Linked DNA regions of Arabidopsis thaliana. The protein of the gene in region 2 purifies or fractionates together with the protein of the main gene of each other region. This does not show direct contact. Each region holds a gene or a part of one and is shown on either strand. Other genes may lie near its edges.

What was found.
Region 1: the proteins of CRT3 (region 2) and ALPHA-SNAP2 fractionate together in Arabidopsis thaliana (co-fractionation; one large-scale study listed by BioGRID). This does not show direct contact.
Region 3: the proteins of CRT3 (region 2) and ALPHA-SNAP1 fractionate together in Arabidopsis thaliana (co-fractionation; one large-scale study listed by BioGRID). This does not show direct contact.
Region 4: the proteins of CRT3 (region 2) and SCPL34 fractionate together in Arabidopsis thaliana (co-fractionation; one large-scale study listed by BioGRID). This does not show direct contact.

Annotation. Positions count from the first base shown.
Region 1 is NC_003074.8:20,845,141-20,850,542, forward strand, and holds ALPHA-SNAP2 (alpha-soluble NSF attachment protein 2), read right to left. Parts: upstream 3,556-5,402; 5' UTR 3,217-3,555; coding exon 3,072-3,216; intron 2,620-3,071; coding exon 2,570-2,619; intron 2,484-2,569; coding exon 2,411-2,483; intron 2,316-2,410; coding exon 2,236-2,315; intron 2,005-2,235; coding exon 1,853-2,004; intron 1,623-1,852; coding exon 1,463-1,622; intron 1,366-1,462; coding exon 1,318-1,365; intron 1,230-1,317; coding exon 1,149-1,229; intron 1,060-1,148; coding exon 979-1,059; 3' UTR 534-978; downstream 1-533. Other genes in the region: AT3G56180 (LURP-one-like protein (DUF567)), read left to right, coding at 1-187, 274-408; AT3G56200 (Transmembrane amino acid transporter family protein), read left to right, coding at 4,947-5,310.
Region 2 is NC_003070.9:2,667,281-2,673,862, forward strand, and holds CRT3 (calreticulin 3), read right to left. Parts: upstream 4,678-6,582; 5' UTR 4,521-4,677; coding exon 4,409-4,520; intron 4,117-4,408; coding exon 4,009-4,116; intron 3,520-4,008; coding exon 3,327-3,519; intron 3,138-3,326; coding exon 2,879-3,137; intron 2,599-2,878; coding exon 2,542-2,598; intron 2,416-2,541; coding exon 2,368-2,415; intron 2,181-2,367; coding exon 2,094-2,180; intron 2,004-2,093; coding exon 1,946-2,003; intron 1,854-1,945; coding exon 1,786-1,853; intron 1,512-1,785; coding exon 1,416-1,511; intron 1,245-1,415; coding exon 1,188-1,244; intron 1,095-1,187; coding exon 1,008-1,094; intron 888-1,007; coding exon 855-887; intron 740-854; coding exon 728-739; 3' UTR 545-727; downstream 1-544. Other genes in the region: HDA08 (histone deacetylase 8), read left to right, coding at 5,247-5,490, 5,641-6,227. UniProt on the Arabidopsis thaliana protein: Molecular calcium-binding chaperone promoting folding, oligomeric assembly and quality control in the ER via the calreticulin/calnexin cycle.
Region 3 is NC_003074.8:20,928,988-20,933,369, reverse strand, and holds ALPHA-SNAP1 (alpha-soluble NSF attachment protein 1), read right to left. Parts: upstream 2,814-4,382; coding exon 2,405-2,813; intron 2,111-2,404; coding exon 2,010-2,110; intron 1,560-2,009; coding exon 1,408-1,559; intron 1,387-1,407; exon of another isoform or gene 1,169-1,386; coding exon 1,018-1,168; intron 921-1,017; coding exon 873-920; intron 786-872; coding exon 501-785; downstream 1-500. Other genes in the region: AT3G56460 (GroES-like zinc-binding alcohol dehydrogenase family protein), read left to right, coding at 28-171, 246-341.
Region 4 is NC_003076.8:7,808,981-7,815,614, reverse strand, and holds SCPL34 (serine carboxypeptidase-like 34), read right to left. Parts: upstream 4,971-6,634; 5' UTR 4,724-4,970; coding exon 4,417-4,723; intron 4,006-4,416; exon of another isoform or gene 3,991-4,005; coding exon of another isoform or gene 3,972-3,990; intron 3,623-3,971; exon of another isoform or gene 2,998-3,622; coding exon of another isoform or gene 2,976-2,997; coding exon 2,865-2,975; intron 2,769-2,864; coding exon 2,673-2,768; intron 2,583-2,672; coding exon 2,490-2,582; intron 2,379-2,489; coding exon 2,290-2,378; intron 2,195-2,289; coding exon 1,877-2,194; intron 1,794-1,876; coding exon 1,657-1,793; intron 1,323-1,656; coding exon 1,230-1,322; intron 1,143-1,229; coding exon 1,037-1,142; coding exon of another isoform or gene 1,007-1,036; exon of another isoform or gene 928-1,006; coding exon 778-927; 3' UTR 529-777; downstream 1-528. Other genes in the region: AT5G23212 (Defensin-like (DEFL) family protein), read left to right, coding at 56-210; AT5G23200 (C5orf35), read right to left, coding at 6,627-6,634. UniProt on the Arabidopsis thaliana protein: Probable carboxypeptidase.

The DNA.
Region 1 (5,402 bases), on a different chromosome or scaffold from region 2:
CAAAGAGAGAGAAGACTTGCTCTTCACGGTACAACAATCTCAAGCGGTTTCACTGAAAACATCCGTGGATGTTTTCTTGCCGGAGAACAACAATGTCAAGAAGACAAACACTTGTGATTTTCATGCTTCAGGAGGATACTCCAATATCTCATTCAAAGTTTTCAAAGCGGATGCTCTCATCGCCGGGGTAGGGGTAAAAGTTAAAAACCCATACTTATTAAGAAATTTGCAATTTTTATACATTGGTGAAGGATTGAAATCCTTATATTGCAGGTAACACATAAGTTTACATGGGGAAGTTTCTGCAAAGGGAAATATAACTTTAAGGTGAGAGTAAATCCAGAGGTTGATTATGCTTTTATCATTGCTTTGCTTGTCATGGTCGATGACAACGAGAATTGGTGTTAGTATATTGTCTGTCCTCAATCTCTTTGTTTAGTGGTTCCTTTCACAATTTATTGGTGTATATGTGTTCATTTCTCAAGATATATGTATGTAAGAATATTTTTTCCATGTAATGTGCAATCTTGCTGGCCCAAATGTTTATTTTTCATAAAAGCGTGCAATCAAAGATATATAGAGCAAGAAAACATGAATCAAAACACTACAAATTGTCGTTAACAGGAAGAAAAAGCACACGTTTATTAGATAGATGTAGACGTAAAAGCAAACAAATAATCGAGACATGATCCTCTCGATGCATCAAATAATCGCTGAACGAAGAAGACTCTCCACAGATGTTTAACCAATATAAAAAAAACTCCAGACTTGAGTAGTTCCCATAAATGAAGTGACGAGACGCAGAGAACAATTGTAGACGTCGATACCAAACAAACCCAATTTGACCAAACCTCTTAAGAAACTTTAAAACTCAAAACCAGACACAATAAAATCAAAGAAGAGTCGGACATGAAGTAACGGACATAGTGACAATACAACCCGGGAATGAATAAAAAGCAACGCTCTGGATAAATATGTCTATGTAAGGTCATCCTCCTCTAGCTCCTTGGCCTTGAGCTTCTCCTTCACCCTCAACAACATGGTTGTCTTCCATGAATCCTGCATTAACACCAATTCCATGATCAAGAACCAGGTAGAGTTAAAGAGAGATTTTATTCAAATAGCTGTATATGGTTTACAGCCCATACCAGTGGAGTCATGCTATCAAACTCCTTGACAACATCTGTGAACTTTGCGATGTCTTCTTCATCGATAGCAGAAGCAAGGTCCTGTTCATATGAATAAATGTACAAAACTTAACATACTTTATGTAAGCTGCTCCACAACTTCTTGAAAAAACGGAAGTTTAAACTTTACCGCTAAGAACTTGCATTCCCGTGTTCCAGTAAAAGTTGGATCCAGATCCTGCAAGAAAGTAGAAGTTAGAAAACATGTCATAGTTGCTCAAAGGACCACACCAGAATGTTTATGTTACGGGTGTTTGTTGTGGAAGAAGAAGAACCTGATACTTCTCCAGAGCGTTAGTGATGGAAACAACATCGGCTTTGCATAAGTGGCACATGCCAGCAGTGAGAAGATGGCCCTTAACTCCATACTTGAGCAAGTTATTGTTGAGTGAATGGCGTGCTATGTCTTCATAAATCTTGATTGCCTTCTCATACCTACCAAAGATACAACAACAAGCCTATTATCAATCAATCGGTCCCAAAGTAGAGAAAAGGCTATAATTGCTGTGCTCATGCATACTGCATAGAGAACATCACAATTCCATACAATGACAAGTTTGTGGATTGACAATTCGATTTTAACAGGGTTCCATCTGAGTACTATAAGCACTTCAATGCTAAGGGATGAGAAAGCAAAAAGAAAGGTAATGTGCCGAAAATCTTACTGCTCCAGCTGGGCGGCATATTGCGCAACCTTTAGATTGCACTGGTTTGCAGAAGTGGTCACTTCTTCATTCTGAAAGAATTCAGCTGCCTTTTCAAAGTAAGCAATAGCCTGCTCGAACTTCTGATCAGATTCATAATACTCAGCAATTTCCTGTCAAAAGTAAAAAACCATTAATGTACAAATTAGTCCAAATACAGCAAGTCAGCACCATGCTTACTTTAGTTTAGAAAAGGAAAAAGACAATCTGAATCCGACTGAACATGCATAAAGAAACAGGAACCATGGAGGAAATACAGAAGAAGTGCCCCAATAAAACTATCTTCTCAGTATCCGTACTAAAAGAATAATATCTAATTCATGCTCAAAAGAGACAAGTGGTACCTTGTAATATCTTGCAGCCATGTTGAGCCTTCCTATCTCACAAAATATATTCACCGCTCGCTCTAGGCAAGACGCAGCCTCTGCATATAATATTAGGACGCATGAAAACACATAAGAATTCATAATCACTCTTGCATTACAGAGATGACAATTACAAAAGTAGCTTTATACATACCATTAGTGTCAACTTTCTTGTAGCATTTAGCAGCCTCAGCATAGGCGTTAGCAGCATCATGTTTGCTATCTGACTGCAGATGCAATCATGCAAATCAATGTTATCAAACAATCCACACATTAGTCCAGTATCATATATATGTGTTGCCAAAGAATTAACCTTTAAGTGACAGTCGGCAAGTTTTAGATAAGCTTTTCCAGCTTGATCCCCTGAACAATCACAAATGCAACACATAAGTAAGAAGATAGCGTTGGAGAATTAAACAAATATCAGAAAAGAACATGAAACCTATTAAACTCAGCCAAATAGAACCCAAATTAGGTACTATAATTGTGCCACTTATCAATGACTTGCTAGAAGGCCAGAAACCAATATCAAGGAATCAGAATGATGAATCTCCGATTTAAAATGTTTTCGTATGAAATTATCAACCATAAATTTCTTACAGATCAAAATAGACCTAATATAAACCCAGATACTAATTCTACTTCTCACATGACCATAGACAAATCACCGCAACTGATAAACCTAAGATCAAACGTTTCAAATTTCACCTTTTTTTTCTTCCTCATCATCACAAAGAACAACAATAAAAAAAAACACGACACCAATCCGATGAAACAATAATCAAAAGCAAAGAAATTTTATTTATGGAAATTACATGATTTGGCGAGCTTATAGGAATTAGCTGCTTTTTCGAGCAGATCAGCAGCATCCTCGTACTTAGATCCGAATATTCCCCATCCATTGAGCTTTTTCTCAGCTTTCTTCTCGAATTCCTCAGCTCTCACCAGATGATCCCCCATTCCTTTTTTTTCCCCGAAACTCTGACTTGAAATTTGATCGTGTACTTCTTTACCTCCACAGACTCCGATTGCTTCTCTTTTCTTCGTCGAGAGAAATTGCTTTCGATTTGGATTATTCGCTGCGATGAAAGAGAGAGAGACGAGAATCGATCGAGAGCGAAAAATCAGAGACACGCTTCGATAGGGGAAAAGATTTTTCAACCGACTAAAGTGGGCCAAATTTGTCTATTTAAAATATGGGCTTTGTTTTGAAAAGCCCAAGTTAGCCCAATCAAAAGTTTTTCCGTACTTTGTTATTGGGTCGCTTTAACCAAGCTTAGAAAATATGGGATCAGGTTTATCAGTTGGGATTGAAGAAAAGCTTACATGAATTATCAAGTAAAACGATTTCCTGTTATATCTGCTCGTCCTTCTACATTCTTCATTAGCCATTATTATAGTTCTCAAATCACGACAAATATTGCTGACAGTTTCCACTAAACAAACCTATGTTCCAAAATGCACAAACTGGTAAAAACCTAGTATGTTTTAATATCAAACACATGAGTAACAACAATATCGGTTTTAATATCAAACACATGAATAACAACAATGGCTAAATAACAACCGTTACAAATCTATGAAATGTTCAATTTTTTAGCAAATCATTTCATGGGTAATCGGTAATTTTTTTGTCTTTTGTGAGTTGCAGAGGTAATCTTCTGTTGTTGGGCTTCTCGACATGTTGAATGGTATTGGGCTTAGTGTCTTGGCCCATAGCATTCTGTTTGGGAGACTCTGAGCTGAGCAGAGAGTTTGACCCAAGCTCTGTTGTTGTTGACTGAAGCTTCTCCTTTACACACAGAGATGATCTAAAATAAACTGTAACTTTGCAACGAGGGATTTCTGCGGCAATATTAATGTTGCTATCAGTCACATTCTATAATGTTAACTGAGTAACTTCAATATGATTCATATGAAATGATTAAATAAAAATAACTTTAGAAGACAGTGTTTAATTATTCTTATATTGTTTCGTTTATCACGTTTTCAATTATTCATTCGACATTCCGCATTCGCTGCCCTCTCGTTTTCTTGATGAAAAGTCTCGAACCGTCTGCTCTAAAGTTAGTTTATTACACGTGAGCCATCTTTGAGGCCGCCAATGATATGATTATATATTGGATTTTATTATATCCACGAAAATTTTAAATTATTTAGGAGTTTTTTTCTTTTTTGGACAACTTATATGAGATGAGAAGCGATGATACACATTTGGCCACTTTTTCGTCTAGATACATTCTTCGTGAAGAAATCCAAGTGCACACATTCATTAGTGTTGGACGGACCCATTTTATTTTGGATTTTTTTGTATAATTCTTTGGGGTTTTTTTGTTAATAATTCACTTCTGTCTATAATATGATTATGATTGTTCATCATATTTTAGCTGTAATTTCCTCTCTTGAACAAAATTATTATTTTCGTGATGTTTTTAAGTACGTGACGAAAGATCATTTGGTGATCTCACTGACATGATTTGCCCAGCCTGTCAGGTTTACCTATGGTCAAATATCATTTTCTCGATTTTGCCCCAAACGGTCAAGGCATATATCCCCAATCTTCAAAGGGTATTTATGTACTTTTCGCTATTAACCGTGTGGCTATATGAAGCCGATTCCTCATAACAACTACAAAAAAGGAAAGCTTCTTCCCGCCGGCAAATTCTTACGTTTCTCCGGCGGTTAGAAAAATGACACCACAGATCAAAACTCATCTCTTGCCGAAGCAAGAACCTTCTTCGTCTGAGAACCATGGATCATCAACCTCCGGCATCGTTTTCAACGTGTCAACGAGTATAATCGGAGCCGGAATAATGTCGATGCCGGCGGCGTTTAAAGTTCTTGGAATAGTTCCAGCGTTTTTGATTATCACGATCATAGCTTGGCTTTCCACAATTTCCGTTGGATTTCTGATGAAATCAACTCTCGCCGGAGAATCAACTACTTACGCCGGAGTTATGAAAGAGTCGTTTGGTAAAACAGGATCCATCGCTGTACAGATTGCTACGATGGTTGCTACTTTTGGTTGTATGATTATATTTTCGATTATTATAGGTAAAGTAATTTGATCTAATCATCTAAGTGTAGAGGTCTCAGCTACTATTTGAGCTTAAGAACAGATTGGCTGAGTTTGGATTTGTATGTGT
Region 2 (6,582 bases):
TGCGAATTTTCTATTTCCTAAAGTCGCCACTGATGTGATTATCAGCCGTACATTTAAAGTGGGAAAAGGTACACACAAGTCACAACATTTGTGCCCAACATAAAACGCATTTAAAATTCTTTCGTTTTTCTTTCTTTTGACTTTCGTTTACGTTTTCACACAAAATGTATCACTCTTATAATCTTATATTTTTTTAGTTTTTATCATTACGGATGCAAATAGGTGGCTTTCTAACATTAGTTAAAAAAAAATATTAGCTAGGTGGAGTAGTATTTGACGATTTATCTGTTGTCATTTTGTCAACACTCAACAATATGCTTTTAGCTAATATTCACATTAGTTCCTCCAAATGAACATGGTTACCATCAGTCCACACCACACTTTCTAGCTAAAGATTTCTATTTTTTGTATTTTCACTAAGAAACGCCAACCTCTCAGTTCAACTCAGCTATCTTCTTCAGGATATAGAGAAATTTTCTGTGGTGAAACAATTAAAATTACCACCACTATCAAACTTCACAAATCACTGCATGGTAGTTTGTCGTTCTTGCCAATTTTAGAATTTTTGTATTGGAAGGGAAAAATAACAAGTCAAGTTTTCATGCCAAAATACATTATAAGAATATGAATACAAAAGGTTACAAATTATGAAATTACAAACACACATTCAAAGCAAAATATAGATAATTTCCCCCAATGCTTTGCCAAATGCCCACCACTCTGCGCCTCATAGCTCGTCCTACACGAAATTCAGAATCATAACAAACTTACATTTTTAGAACAGTTAAGATGATTCAGTACTAAACTGCATAAACCATTCTTTTTAAAGTGGTTGAGATAGAAGGAACACTTACATGGTAATCATCCATATAATCACGTGGATTCGGCTGCAAAACAAAACAAAACAAAACAAAACAAACCATTTCCAACAATATTCACTCACTTGGTTTCCAGATAAAACAGAGTTGAGAAGGTTATAATTCATTTGGACTCAAATAAGTACTTACCCGTTTGTAACGCCTCCTCCTGTCTCCATACCGGTGGTCCCTTTCTTTCCGCCTGCGTTCACCTTCTTCCCGTGCTATCCGAGCTTCCTGTAAACGTTGATTTGTATGGCCATGCTCGTTAACTAGGATATACAGAGAAGACTTGAAAAGAGAACAAGAACTTTTTTGTGAACTACAAACCTCATCTTCTCTAGCTTTTCTTTCTTTCTCTGCTTCCGCAAATAACTCCTTCTCAGACTGGTGCATATGGCCAAGTATATAGCATATCAAATTCACTAATAAGACATTTTCGTATATAATAGCATGCAGAAAATCCATTTGCAATTACTACACACTTGCAAGATCAAAAAACTTCTTTGATTTTATCCAAAAAGAAGCAAAAAGATATACAAAGACTTGGAAATCTACCTCCCTGTGTTGGGCAAAATAGTCATCCACGATGCTTCTTGCATATGCCGGGTCATCGCAGATCAATATATTGTCAAAGATTGAGCCAGCCTTCACCTGCAGTGTTAAGATCATTTTTTTTTCATTCAGATGCACTAGATAAGTTTGATCCCTCGTCTAAAATGAAGACTTTTTATCAGATCTTTTCTGTTTCTTTTGGTTTTGTTTTCAACCCTAAAAATTTGGATGACCTATATGTACAAGCAGCATATATATGTTAAAAGAACTAATTGGCAGTGAATATTATATAAATATTCATCCATATCTGGTGATGATGTAGTGATTATAAAAGTTAATATTTGATGGAATTCAAGAAAGCTCTAGAACTTACCTGCCATACTTCAATGCCTGCATATTTGATAGACTTCAGAACGTAAAGATCTGGATCATCTTCAAATTCTGTGCAAAACCGAGAAGCTCAAGCTTAGTATTTATAACAAGAAGAAATCCAGCTCAAAATGAACATACACATTAAATAGGTAGAAACATGCCTGGATTATCTATCCATGGGTTCTTCCATTTTCCCTTGTAGTTCGGGTTCTTGATTCTCTGTAGGAAAATAATGTTTTGAGAAATGTCAAATGGAGAAGAAGAAAAAACAGTAATCTATATAACCATTGATGACTGTCATATAATAACCTTTGCTTTCCAAGGACCTTTGTACGCAGAATTTGGGATCTTTGGAGGTTCCCAGAGACCATTTTCTTCCTCGTCCCAGTCCTCGGGCTAAACAAGTAGAGAGAGAGATACAAGACACAAAGCTTCAGACTATAACACAGTAATGAGTTCCAAAAAAGAATGAGTGCCATAATGTCAGAATTTGCAGTGATATAGAATGAAGAAAGAATGATGGATCTCTGAGACTAAAAAATAACGACCAATCATTTAAAGAATCTAATATAACAGTACATACCTCTTTAGCTTTACGATCTGGAATTTCACGTGGAATAGAATCAAAACCCTGGTTACAAAAGGAAGAACGAGCCAGTTGCCTGAATTAAACTAAGAATTAAGAGAATGGGAACTGAATAGCTTCCTTTCAATACAAATTGTATTTTCTATATTGCTAAGTTTACTAAAAAGTTACCTCGGGTTTGACATCGTTGGGGTCATCGATGTACTCTCTATCATCCCAGTCCTCTGGCTGCAAAATACAGACTGTTAAGAATCTATCAAGGTGAAAGCTAAAAGAAATGTAGTGTTACTGGCTTACTGCATATCTTGCTCTTCTATGAAAATTTAGTATAACCTCAGATCAAAACCATAATCCATTTTCCTCGTCATACATCATAAATTATAATAGCTAAAAGCTAAGTGTAACTATCTCAGAAAAAGGTTATCCAACCTTGCAAATGTTTGGTTCAGAAATTCACATTGCATTTAAGAAAGAGTCTATGAAACCTTATAAGCACCCAGACAGTTACCTTCTTTGCATTCTTGACCTTGATCTTCCTTGGAGGAAGGATGTCCCAGTCTGTGTACATACTGCCAAATTCTCTCTCTTTATTATCCACCAGAACGCTGTAAGAAGCGTCAGGACGCAGAATAAATGTGTAGAAATGATTTAATTTGTCTGTTTCACATTGCAAATCCTTTTTGATTGGATAATTCTGTCCCTGATATGAAACTATAACATGAAGCTTCTTCGTCTGTGTTCCGCATATATCTGGTCCAAACATTAGACTGCATAGAAAAACTAATGAGAATCCCCAAACACAACAACACCATGTGACGACTTTGTTGTAAAAAACATGGACATGTAATCATTTATCAAAGTTCACTGGATTAACTAAATCAACGCAACTTGACTTAGATTGCAATATAACATTCTATCAACTGATGTTCATTGAAAAAGCATTAATGTATGATTACCTGTATGGAGTATCACCACCAAACTGCTTCTGGTTAACATAGCCAGACAGGAGCTTAATGTAAGCACCACCACATTCAATGTCTTGTTCAATCTTGACTGAGTACTGGACAACAAGAGTCCGGTTTTTGTTGCTAAACTCAGGAATCTTTGCAGAAATCGCATAATGCTTGGCATCATTATAAGTCTGAATACCTAAACACATCAAGAAAATCAAAAAAGAAAGAAAAAGATACTAAGTTAAACCAAATAAAGATTCTATATTCCTCAAGTTAACTTTCGAGATCGAAAGCTAGTACACTTGACGATCCATAATTGTATCACAGAACAAAAGAGCTCAAGATCTACACACAAACCTGCTGCTGAAACAAACATATCTAAGAACTAAAATAGAAATCCTAATTATAACCAATTAAAGATTTAATTTTCTTCAAGATAACTTCAAATATCGAAAGGCAGTAGACTTGCGAACTCCATGTCTTAGTCCACATAACAAAAGAGCTGAAGATCTACACACAAGTGGCAGCTAACAAGAACATATCAAAGAACTAAAACACTGCAACATAACAAAGATCACAGGGAGAATGGTGATATAGATTCTCGTATTCTGAAAATCAAGTGAGACCCTTAACGCCAAAAAGACGGAGTTCTGCAGTGTGCTTAAAGGTGGGCGAAAGGAAGTACCTTTATTGTCAGGATCGCCGGGCCATTTACCGGCAGTGTGCTTAAAGGTTCCAGCTTTGCCTTCGTTTCTTTTCCAATCAGACAAGACCCACCTACTTTTCCATCCACCTGAACACAATCTTACTAAGTTAATTCCATAAACCTATAAATAGAAAGCCAAAATCCAGAACCATAGAATCGTTATATTAACCAGAATAGGAAAAGCAAAGCCTATAATAGAAGATTCTAGTGAAGGATGGATTCGGATTCACTATCCTAATCAAATCAAAATCTACCAAGGAAAGTTACTACTTACTAATCATAGCAATATATTCAAAAAGGAAACAAAAATAACAAATCGTTGTTTTGTTTCCCAGAAAAGGAAAAAAAAGAGAGAAGAGTGTTTATATATATACTTCACCTTCGAAATGCTCCTCTAAGAAGATCTCGGAGAAAGCCAATGGGGCAAGAGTTAGTACAGAGACGAGGAAGAAGAAGCAGAAAAAACTGAGCTTATTTTGAGGTAATCCCATTTTTCAGAATTTCTCACTTCATCATGGTTACTGAAAAATTGTGCTTGGGCCTTTATAGCAAAGCAGAATGTTGACTCAGTGTCGTTTGGTTTAGTTACAATATTGCCCCTAAGGTTTGGATTTTTCTTTTTTTCTCTATGTTGTTTTTCTCAAGTCGTCGTCGCAGTGTGGAGTGGACTGAAGAATATTCAAAGTCGTTTATCATCGTAAGAAATGGGGCAAAACTGGTCTCAAATAATAATTGCTATGTTTCTTGCTCTAATCTCTTATATTGCCATTATGATTTATAACAAATCTTGTTCTAACTAAATCTAGCCGAATGTTTTGTACATGATACTTGTAGCCAAATGTTTTTTATACGAATATGAATCATAAATAAATTCAATTATATTTTCTTTATTTTATGAGAGCGAAGAATATATTTTTTTTGTAGTCAAAAAATAAAGGTTCTACAATAATTAAATGTGGGATAACGAAATCCAAAAAGCTCCAATCTAAAACAGTACAACATGTCATTAACAGCATGTTCAGTCCAGGCCCAATAAGCACGAAATTTCTCTTCTCCGAAATTAACTTAATCCTTGAGTTTATTTGGAAAAGACATTTATACCCCTTGTTATCTCAATGGTTAGAGAACACGTGTGTTGCGCGTGAGCATCCTCCATTATTACACCACCGTTGGCCTCCGACGACGGCTCAAGCCTATCTTCGTCGCCGGCTTCTCCGATGGTTACCAATCGCGTAGACGTCTTCTGGCACGAAGGAATGCTCCGACACGACGCCGTAGAAGGCGTCTTCGACACTGGATACGACCCTGGATTCCTCGACGTATTGGAGAAGCACCCGGAGAACGCCGATCGCGTCAGGAACATGCTTTCGATTCTCCGACGCGGTCCCATCGCTCCTCATGTCAATTGGTTTACCGGTCTTCCAGCAATCGTTTCGGAGCTTCTAATGTTTCACACTTCAGGTACATCGCTCTAAGGTTCGCAGAAAAGAAGGAACTTTTATAAAAACCTGTTTCTGAATTTGGTAGTTTTGACAAATCTTAACCTTAAAAAATTCGACTTTGATTTGTGATTATTGCTTTCTCATGTAATCCATTGTGATCCTTGTACAGAGTACATTGAGAAGCTAGTGGAGGCAGATAAATCAGGAGAAAGGTGTGAAATTGCCGCAGGTACTTTCATGAGCCCAGGCTCGTGGGAAGCTGCTCTTCTTGCAGCTGGAACAACTCTTTCAGCAATGCAACATATTCTTGATTGCCATGGGAAAATTGCATATGCTCTGGTACGCCCACCAGGTCACCACTCACAGCCTACTCAGGCTGATGGGTATTGCTTCCTCAACAACGCTGCTCTTGCTGTCAAGCTGGCATTGAATTCGGGTTCTTGTTCCCGAGTTGCGGTTATTGACATCGATGTACATTATGGAAATGGCACAGCTGAAGGGTTTTATACATCTGATAAGGTTCTTACGGTGTCACTCCATATGAACCATGGATCATGGGGATCGTCCCACCCGCAGAAAGGGTCGATTGATGAACTTGGTGAAGACGTGGGATTGGGTTACAATCTGAATGTCCCTTTACCGAATGGCACGGGTGACCGGGGATATGAATATGCCATGAATGAGCTGGTGGTTCCTGCAGTTAGAAGGTTTGGACCCGATATGGTTGTTCTCGTTGTTGGTCAAGACTCTAGCGCTGTAAGTTCTTTCTTTGCCCAAATACGTGTAGACTATCTGACTGAGCACTTACTCAGGGTTTTGTTCGCAATTATTGTTTTGGTTACAAGTAAATCGCTTATGTATGCTGCTCCAATATGGCTCTGCTGTGATAAGTCTGCATAAGTAGTTAGAAGAGTGCAGCTGTTGCATTAGTCATGTCATCTCTCTAATATTCAGTCAGCAAAAGATAAACGAATCAGTATAAATGGAAGATGACCAAAGGAGGAATGGGTTGTCTAGGGATTTGGGTATTGGTTTTGCATTGGAAGAGTCTAGGGTGCTCGAGAATTCACCATAAGATTATATCTTTGGATTCTTTGCTTCAGTTTGCATT
Region 3 (4,382 bases), on a different chromosome or scaffold from region 2:
ATAAGTTGTAGTAACCAATTGGTGCAGAACTGGACGGTTCATGGTCTTTACTGGGGTAGCTACAGGATCCATCAGCCCAATGTCCTTGAAGATTCCATCAAAGAGTTATTGTCATGGCTTTCCCGAGGATTGATCACTATTCACATCTCTCATACCTATAGCCTCTCCCAGGTGAAAACATTAACTCATCTTCATGACATCAAAACTCAAAACATGTAATTAAACACTTACCGTTTTGATTACAGGCCAATCTTGCATTCGGGGACCTCAAAGACAGGAAGGCAATTGGAAAAGTGATGATTGCTCTCGACCACAAGACTGCCCTGTCTTCAAAACTATAGACTCTTTATGGCCGTAGGAGAAAACAGCTTATGTATTCTAGAAATAAGGTTATTGCAATGGCCATGTAAGCTGAACCATCTTGCATTTATATCTGGCATATAATCCACATTCTGATTTGAAATTTCAATAAACGTTATCGAATTGCAGTTTGATTTTCTCTAGAAATTAGTGTAGTTATAAATCCTTTTTGTATATACATTGTTCCAATCAAGAATACATTTTCCTTCAATCAAGTAAAGCTTGCATCCTCCTCCAGCTCCCTGGCCTTGAACTTCTCTTTTACCCTCAACAACATTGTTGTCATGATCAAGAACCAGACAGAGTTTACATCCAAATAGTTGCATGTGGTTTACTGCCCATACCAGTGGACTCACGCTATCAATTTCCTTGGAAACGTCTGTGAACTTTGCAATGTCTTCTTCATCGATAGCAGAAGCAAGGTCCTGTTCATGAGAATAAATGTACAACACTTAACATACTTTATGTAAGCTACTCCCCAATTTCTTACAACACCAGAGTTTAAACTTTACCGCTAAGAACTTGCATTCCCGTGTTCCTGAAAAAGTCGGATCCAGATCCTGCAAGAAAGTACAAGTTAGAACACATGTCATAGTTACTCAAAGGACCACGCCAGGATGCTGATGTTAAGGCTGTTTGCTGTGGAAGAAGAAGAACCTGATATTTCTCCAGTGCATTAGTGATGGAAACAACATCAGCTTTGCATAAGTGGCACATGCCAGCAGTGAGAAGATGGCCTTTAACTCCATACTTAAGCAACTTATTGTTGAGTGAATGGCGTGCCTGTGTCTTCATAAATCTGGATTGCCTTCTCATACCTATCAAAGATACAACAGCAAGCCTATTATCAATCAATCAATCCGCCCCAAAGTAGAGAAGGGGCTATAATCCATGTGCTCATGTGTAGAGAACAACAACATTATTCCAAACAATGTCAAATTTGTGGTTTGAAAATTCGATTTTAACATGGTCCCATCTCAGTACTGTAAGTACGTCAATACCAGAGGATGAGAAAGCCAAAAAAAGGTCAGGTGCCGAAAATCTTACTGCTCTAGCTGGGAAGCATATTGTGCAACCTTTAGATTGCACTGGTTTGCAGAGGTGGTCACTTCTTCTATTTGAAAGAATTCAGCTGCCGTTTCATAGTAAGCAATAGCTTGCTCGAACATCTCATCAGATTCATAATACTCAGCAATTTCCTGTCAAAAGTAAATGACAATGTACACATTAGTACAAATACAGAAAGTCAGTACCAAGCTTACTATATATACTGTAGAAAAAAAGAAACAAATCCGACAGGATCCAACATGCATAAACAACACGAACCATGGAGAAGATGCTGAAGAAGTGCCTCCCCCTCAATAAAACTATCTTCTCACTATCCGTACTAAAAGAGTAACAGTATCTAATTCATACTCAAAAGAGACATGTAGTACATTGTAATATCTTGCAGCCATGTTGAGCCTTACTATCTATCTCACAAAATATATTCGCCGCTCTCTCTAGACAAGATGCAGCCTCTGCATATAATAAGGTCATGGTTATATTTGGACGCGATAAACATGCATAGCGAAAGGAAAACACACAAGAGTTGATAATCAGTCCTGTAGTACATATATGTCAATTAAAATCTAAAAAGCTGTTGCTACATGATCCATACATTCGTCCATTATCATATATGTGTTTGCCAAAGAATTTGCCTTTAAGTGACAATCGGCAAGTTTTAGATAAGCTATTCCAGCTTGATCCCCTGAAGAATCACAAATCAAACACATAAGCAAGAAGATACTTATCAATGACTTTACTATAAGGCCAAAAACCATCATTATCGAGTAATCTAAATGTTGAGTATCCAATTTATAATTCCCACATATCAAAGAGGCCTAAAATCAACTTCTCACAACACCATGGAAGGATCACCACAATTGCTAAACCAAAGATCAATCAAAAGTCTCAAGTTTCACCTTTTCTTCCTCATCATCATCACAAATCAATCAGATGAAACAAAAATCAAGGCCGGCTGATTATTATTTATGGAAATTACATGATTTGGCAAGCTTATAGGAATCACGTGCTTTCTCGAGCAGATCAGCAGCATCCTCGTACTTAGTGTCGAATCTTCTCCGTCTGTTAAGCTTCTTCTCAGCTTTCTTCTGAAAGTAGTAGCAACTGCTTGAAGAAGAGAAAGTGATATCAAACAACAACAAGAGTTGGCGGCGAGCGATGGTAGCTGAAGCGGCTCGCGTGATGGTTCTCTGTTTTGAGTATTGCAGAGTTCCGATGAATGAGAGATGGGCTTCGTGTCTCCTTTTGGGCCTGAAACAGCTGCAGTGTTGTTGTGAGAGATTGAAGTCTCTGCTTGAGTTGGAGACTCTTGTTGTTTGATATCTTATCAAGTTCCTCAGCTCTATGAAAAGTGGGTAAAAAAAACCCTCACCTTTTACAAAAAACATGTACAAAACCCTCAACTTTTTTGGTGGGTTTTTAAACCCTTCCCTTTTTTTCTTTGATAACTCAATGCCCAGACCACACAGTGATCTAACTAGTCTACTGGGGCTAAGCCCGCGACCAGAGATTTTTAAGCATCCATTTAAGGGATTTTTTGGTGGGTTTTTAAACCCTTCCCTTTTAAAAAATAATAAAATAACACTTACTATTATTAAACCAACTAAACTATTATATTAAAACATAAAATAAAACAAGTTAGTTTGTAATTTATACTTTCCAAATTGGAGTTTTTGATATTTTTTCAGAATTTAGTTGTTGTTTTTTGACGATATAAAAAAATAAGTTTCAATTAGAATTTGTTATGTAAACTAAAATCAATTTATAGCTTAGCACATTTTATTTTATTTTACTTCATATGTTTTCTAACTTTTGAAGTTTTGGATTTAAAATGAAGAAAATTATTAACATAATTTTGTTCTAAAGTTGTGTGACTGAACAAAAAAAAAATTCTTAATATTTCTTTTCTTCTTGAACATATAAAACAAAGGTTTCGCATTACCAAAAAATTTCAGAATAAGAATTATTCAGCCTATCTTATCGTATTTCCAAAAAAGATCTCGAGAAGATCTCGGAGAATCTTAACAACAAATGAAAAGAAAATATATTATCATTATTTTGTGCAAAAGATTGCACTCCTCCTTCCTTTCCATCTTTATTACCTGATGCGTAAAGATATCTAATGGAAGAAGAGCTCTCGCCTGCTTCTATAAGACCTGTTTTACTAACAGGACAGTTTAGTATTTCAAGATGTTTTAATTCTTTGCATCCTTTACCAATTGCTTGGAGACCGTGATCCGTAACATTGGTAGCATACTCTAGTGTTATTTCAACAAATCTATATACAGAACAAGCACATGTATCACGGTCAGTTTATGTGCAACATCAAATATTCAATTAGAAATTTTTGATAAAACAAAATTGAAAATTCTCGTAAATGACGTAAAAGAAAAAAGAATAATAATGCAATCAAAACTAGCATTTACAAGCAAAAATTTCTAAAAGAATAATAATATAATTTGTGTTAATCACACCATAGAAAGTATTTTGAGCAAGGGGAATTAATAAAATCAATGCATCATTAAAATTGCTTAAATTTAATGCATCATTAACTATTATGTAAAAAAAAACCACATAAAATTTTTAATATATGTAAATTTTATATAAAAAAAAAAAGATTGCTTAAACCACAAGCTAGCGACTTGTGAGTTTAACAAAAAGTCGTAAAATCCAATGGAATCTGGTGACGACAAGGCACCTAATACTTTTTTTTTTTTTTTAACTCTGGCACCTAATACTTTTAAAGCATCTCCATTGCATAATTTTCTATATTGTCTCTATAAAATTAAAGTTACTAAATATTAATAATTAAATGTATAAGTCTTTAAATTAAATGGAGAAATCCGGTTCTGTAACCTTGAAATGACCATGTAAGCTGAACCATCTTGCATTTGTTATATCTGTCCTATAATCAACATTCTGATTTGAAATTTTAATAAACGTAATCGAATTGCAGT
Region 4 (6,634 bases), on a different chromosome or scaffold from region 2:
ATCTATGATGGTAACTTAACAAGTAAATATTTTTAAATTGTGATGAATTCAACAGGAATTATGGATGCTTCCTCAGATTGTGAATTCAAAGGACCGTGTCATAAGAAAGAAGATTGCTATGACTCATGTGGAGTGAACAAACCACCGTTTAACAATGCTATATGTGTACCTGGCAGAGATTCGTTTCAATGTTGTTGTATTTTATCGTGATTCTATTCAAATTTAGTTTACTATTGACTTATTAAAAAAGTTATATCAAAAAAAGATACATCTGAATTCTATTGATTAACAATTTTTTTTTTCTTTCATAATCTTGTCTTAAAACGAAATAAATATAATGATATTTGTTGTCATACCCATAACAATGAAGAAAACTCAAAGAGAAGAGAGAATCATATAAGAGCCATGTACATTTATTTGGCGAATGTATTTGACGTTGAATATGAAATATGTGTAACACTGAATTTACAATATTTTCTAAATTTCATCATCATCTCTTTCATAATTATCATATTATTGACATCTAAAATTTTCTTCCAACTTATATAGAAGTAAGCCTAGCTAAAATTTGTGTTGTTTGGATCATTGGATGACTATATATTGTTAAAGAATTATCCAAGAGATGAGAGTTTTAGAGGTCACTGTAACACGAGAAAACATGTAAAACGCGATAAAACATTTGTACAATTCTAATATAATGGCCTATTTTGCTCAAATCTGTTTATTATTGTTTTAAGAATTATATAAAGATCATAAAATCTGTGGGTAGAGAAAATATCAAAAGGGAAAAGTAGGAAGTTTCTTATTGCCTAGAAAATGATGAATGAGCTGAAGAGCTTCTCTAGGTTTAAATGTCGGAACCTGGTGTCCCGCTCCTCTTACCGTCACAAACATTAAACCGTCATACTCCACCGTCCACCCTCCGACCTAACGGCAAGTGAAAGAAAAATATATATATATATATATATATCTTTAGAGTCAATCACACACTTACTTGGAAGAAAAGTTAAAGTTTGTAACTTGGAACCAAATTAACCTGTAGTTTGGTGTACCAAGGTGTCCAGTCTTGGACTATCTTAAGACCTAGCTTCTTTAGTGAGTATCTGGTTGCGGTCACGGGGATTCGCCCGTCTGTATCCCCACTATTAAGTTTACCAAACAATTTAAAACGGTTATCGCTCGTTTTCAGTTAATTCTTACATAAAAATGCCAAGGATTAGGTGTTATACCTGAAAACCCATACGCGTAATCCCGCTGAAACAAGTGTTCTTAAGGTTGGAAGCATAGAAGCGGGAGCGTCAGACCAGAATGAGACAGTGTCACTGCACATAGTAAACCATGCATATGGTTTAAGTTCCTATCTATCAATCATTTACCACACACGCTTTTGGTTAAACTATGATAGTAAGAGTATTAATATGTAGGTGCATGTGACAATTCATAAACTGATTCAATTTCCTTTGCCTATATTCGAACAAACCATAACCAAACAACCGGAAAAAAAAAACTGCTTCCTCAATATATACCTTAGAATCCTAAAACGTTAACATATATTGCTAAAAAAGACCAAACCAAACTATATGTGCTTTTTATATTTCATGAAAAACAAAATCTGGAAAACCTAACCGAAAATAAGATTGAACGTCGTAATAATACCTGCAATGAGTCCAAGGGTAAGAGATGTTGGTGACATTAGCGTGAAGTGCCTCCTGAACATCTTTTCTGTTCATATATTTTTCTGTATACTCTGATGCACATGGATCGTACCCGGCGGCCATCCTCCTCCATCCTTCCTGTATATAATCAATTATAACCGGTTAGTCAAATTGGTTACGAAAGAATTTTTTCTAAGTGATTAAAAAGACGAATTACTTACATTGTGAGAGATGAGACGGGGTCGTAGAATGCTTCGGAATGCGGGTAGGGGGCGGTTTCCGGCGACTGAATGAGAAGTAGAGGAGTTCGTGGAGGTGGGGACACACTTTGGAGCGTACAGACTGTACATGTCAAGGATCTTGTATACATCAAAATACTCATCTAAAGCGTCGTTGCATTCCTTGGTCACAAGTTTTTGTTTGAAATCGCAGTTTTTGTTCACTTTCTCGTACAATGCATCTGATATCACCGCGTGATCCCATGCATATTCTATCATCCCCTTTTGATCCGTTTCGTCATCCAATAACGCGTTTCCTATCTGTATATATATACAATTCAAAGTCTTCATCAAAACACTAGATATAGTGCAAGTGAAACTAATAATTATTGGATTGATTTAAGAAAATCTCTGACCATTAAACCCTTGAGATTAATGAAATCTTTCTTGGACGCAATCTTGTTTTCTTTGTAGATGAGCTCCGAAAGTTGTGGGACGTAATGGCCTAATAATTCCACGCAAATCATACATATTCAATGTTTTGTTTTTTGGTTTTGTAATAATCACATGTAGAAACGACGTCGTGTATTTCTAACTTATAATAATAATAATTTACCGGCGTAGCTTTCTCCGGCAATGTAGAAGTCGTGTGACTTGTACTGGGGAAATCTCTTGAACCAGTTGACAAGGAAGTTGTACGAGTCTCTCGCTGTTCATCATACACAAACTTTAATTATTAACTTACAAACAAAACTAATATTTCATTAATAAAACTAATGTTATATATAACAAACCGAACCTGTGACAGTGTCGCCGAGTTGTTTTATATCACGGCTTGTGTTAGTATAGGAGAATCCAACTCCAACCGGCGATTCCAAGAATAACAAATTCGCCGCTATGTAAATCACATTTCAAAAACATTAATTCAGTTACATTATTGATAGAAAGAGAGATAATATTTGAATATTTAGAAAGTTATGTATACCCATACCTTTGTTCCAGCTGTATGGATTTAGCTTGAGTTTAGGCTGACTCGAGTTTTGTGGGAAGAATGGTCCCAGTTCTTCTGCAGCTCCGAATCCGATTGATGAACATCCCGGTCCTATATTCACATTTTTCACCATTGAAATCTCAATATACTATAACTAAATACATTTTACTATGTACATTATTTGGAAGTACCACCAAATTTAAACTTAGGTGATATAGGCCTACTCCTTTAATTTGACTCTACATTATGTTACTTTTTATTCACTATTATTGCATAGGGTCCATTTAATTTAAGGGTTTTGTTGCTTATAATGATAAACTTGCCTTTATCAAGAAACACACGAATAAAAACAAACTTGAGAAAACTTTTAGGGCGTGCATATACGTGCATGGACCATGTGTAATGTTTGGAATCATAATGAATTATGGACCGAAGGACCGTTTAAGTTTCATGGAATTGACTTTTCTTGATATGATGATAATAGATAGATGCATAACTTTTGTGTCAATAATTACTGTGCCTTCATATTAAAGTAAAGGGCGCAATGAGCCCACGGGAGCCTATTAAAGCCTAAATATGTGGAGGTAATAATTTTAATATCCATCACATGCATATGAATTCAATTAATATGTAATAAAATATAAGCATATGGTTAATCTTCCACCAAACTAATTATCTTTAATCTTTCACCAAAATATTTTCCAAGCGTGTTATGCTGAACAAAAAGACTTACAATAATCTATCAAAGATTTTATTGTTTTATGACTATTTTCATCAAAATTTGGATTTTTACGTTGTTTAGCTCTTTATGAATAAAATGACTTAAAAATAAAGTATTTTTCTATTAACAATGTGTAAGAAACCATAAACATCTAAAAGAAAAAACCATCTAAAAGCAAAGCATGATGGAACGTTGAGATATGTGGATTGTAAATTTAAATATATAGCAAATGAGTCTACAAGAGAATAAAAGCTAGCATATATAGGATCATGTAACAACTAACAAGCATGTGGAATCATTACAAGCTTCCAAAATTACTTTAAAGTTTAACCAATCACAACCAAAACTCATCATGATGGTGATGATGATAACTACTAACCACATACGTTTCATTGATTTTGACATGGTGCCAAATGAGATACGTCTTACTATTAGGAAGCTTCACCTAATATTCTCCCCAAGTTACCTTTTTTTGTCTCCATGCATACAAATGACTGATACATACATACCTATTTATTTATGGTTTATTTTAATCCACGTTAAAAATTATTTCAGCTGTATTATATTATTTATATAGTATACGTACGTTAATTTTTTGTTATTTTACGTGTAATGTTGTTAAATGGAATTGTTTTTCTAACCCAACTCATGAAAGTTTCAAAATTCGAATATAAAGATTGCGCAAGGATCAAATATCTATTACGAAATCAATATCAAGTAGATGAAATGCACACAAAGCATGATACACCTTATTTTATTGGTGGGTTTTAATCTTTTAACTATGAGACGTAATAGAAGAAAAATGAGTGGATGTGAGTTAGTTTAACTTACCTCCATTGAGCCAAAGGAGGACAGGTTTTTTGCTTGGATTCTGAGTGGCTTCAAAGAACCAATAGAACAATGCTCTTCCATGTGTTTCATTAACCGTCACATAACCGGCGTATTGCCGGAATTTCACTGGCGGCTGTCCCGGAAGCTCTTTCACTCGATCAGCTCGTTGCGCTGCCAAAACCCTAGACCGGAAACAACCGTTGTCGCCGTCGTTGTCACTGCACAGCTTTTCTGCTGATGTTGAGCCAAGAAGAAAGGACACAAGAAATAGGACAAGAACAGAGAACTCAACACTATGAGAACCCATTTCTTTTTAGTTTATTATAGTTTAATATATCGAATTTGTGGAAATTGTGAAGTGACTGTGTAAGCTTATATAATGTTGTGTGAGAGAGAGAATGGGATTCAGAGACAGATAAGAACACTCTGTAGTCTCACTGGGTGGTAACCATATTCATAAGATAAGACACATGAGAAAAATCAAATTCTGGAAAAGTAAAAAGAATTTTATTTCTTTCTGATTACAAAGAAAGATTCATTTCTTTTTATAGGAAGATTTTTCTCTTTCTTTTTAATTAGTTTGAATAAATTAATAGTTGCAGTTTTATAAATATTTTTTTTTATATGAATTTCTCTTTTTGTTAACACTTGGTGAAATATCTACACACGCAATTTGTGATCTGTCTTTAATATCGTTTTCTATTTGAATTATATGATTATACTTGTCTTTGTAACCATTTCCTTAAGACGAAGACATCAAAAAATATCAAATATGATAGAAAGCAAGAAATTTTATTTCTTTTTATATCAGTAATAATAGTAGCAAATTCTCTTTATAAAAATAGAAAGGTTTGTTAGAAATTGAGTTTCCCTTTTTATGGGCAATTTCTCTTTTTGTTAGACTATACTAGATAAATAGAAAATACGTACAGACAGACGCAACTTGTGCTATGTCTCCAATATCGTTTTTGTATCATGATTGAAATAATTTGATATATAAATCAAAAGGATAATATAAAAAAAATGTTAGAGAATTAGAGATAATGAAGTGATTGGTCAATGAATTGGAATAGAAGGATCCAAATAAAAAGCAGAGCAGAGCAAAGAAAGTGACGGTTCATTTCATAAGATTATTTCTTAAGAGAGATTTGACCAAACACTGTTTTACTTCTCTCTCTCTCAATCTTTCATGTTCCTCCCCCTTGAAATTAGCAACGACCGATCTACATAAATATTTTTATATAATATAATGTGTGAATTGTGATGTATGTGCAAAGTAAATTATACCTGTCATATAACAAAACAGAATGTTACGGCTTTGATTGCGTAATAAAAAGATTCAGTTTCTGTTTATATACGTCATAGAAGTGTATATCTACATCTACATGTACTCTCCTATTATACCTATATACATTAAGAAGTCACGAGGCATTTATGTTACAGTGTGATCAATATGAAATGTTTACAAACAAAAAATTTATAAATTTTTTTGTTTGCATTATTATATGACTAACGTGTTTTAAAAGAAACTAGCTAAGATTCTCTACGAAGATCATAAACATGTAAACATTTACTCTCTTTTTTTTCAATTACTATGTCTTTTTTTTGCGTAGATAATTATTACATGTTTAAGTTATCAAATAGTTCAAGAGTGAGTTTAAACAACATTTGATATACTCACAATGATTATAGATAATAGAGTTATAAGATTATACAATTATAGTTTTCATATAATCGTTTATGTTGAAGTTGTGCATTTTATGTCTACTTTATTGAATTCGCTATTCCTTTTGTGGTAATTATTCGGTAGTCATATTTTCCGATAACTTTTGAACGTCTTCAATTCAATAATTTTGACTACAAAACCAAATCCATCATTAAGTCATTTATCACATTCAACAACACAGATCATCACCATTGTTCCATTCCAACCATCCATTGAGAACTCTATAATTGCATTGGCATTACGTAATTTCCCTATTACAGTTGCAGCACTGGTTTCATCACAGAGTCGTGTGTTGCTCTTCGTCCATAGTATGTAACAACAGAACAACATAAAATATTAGAATAAAATGTCTTCCAAAAATAATCGAAAAACAAAAATAGTGACACAATCAGCGAAACGACGTCCCGCTAATAGTCTAAAGAAAACCGAGGAGCATGTTTTGAAACAGAGCCTTTCAAGTTTCATTAAAACATAAAAGAGAAATTTAGCTCC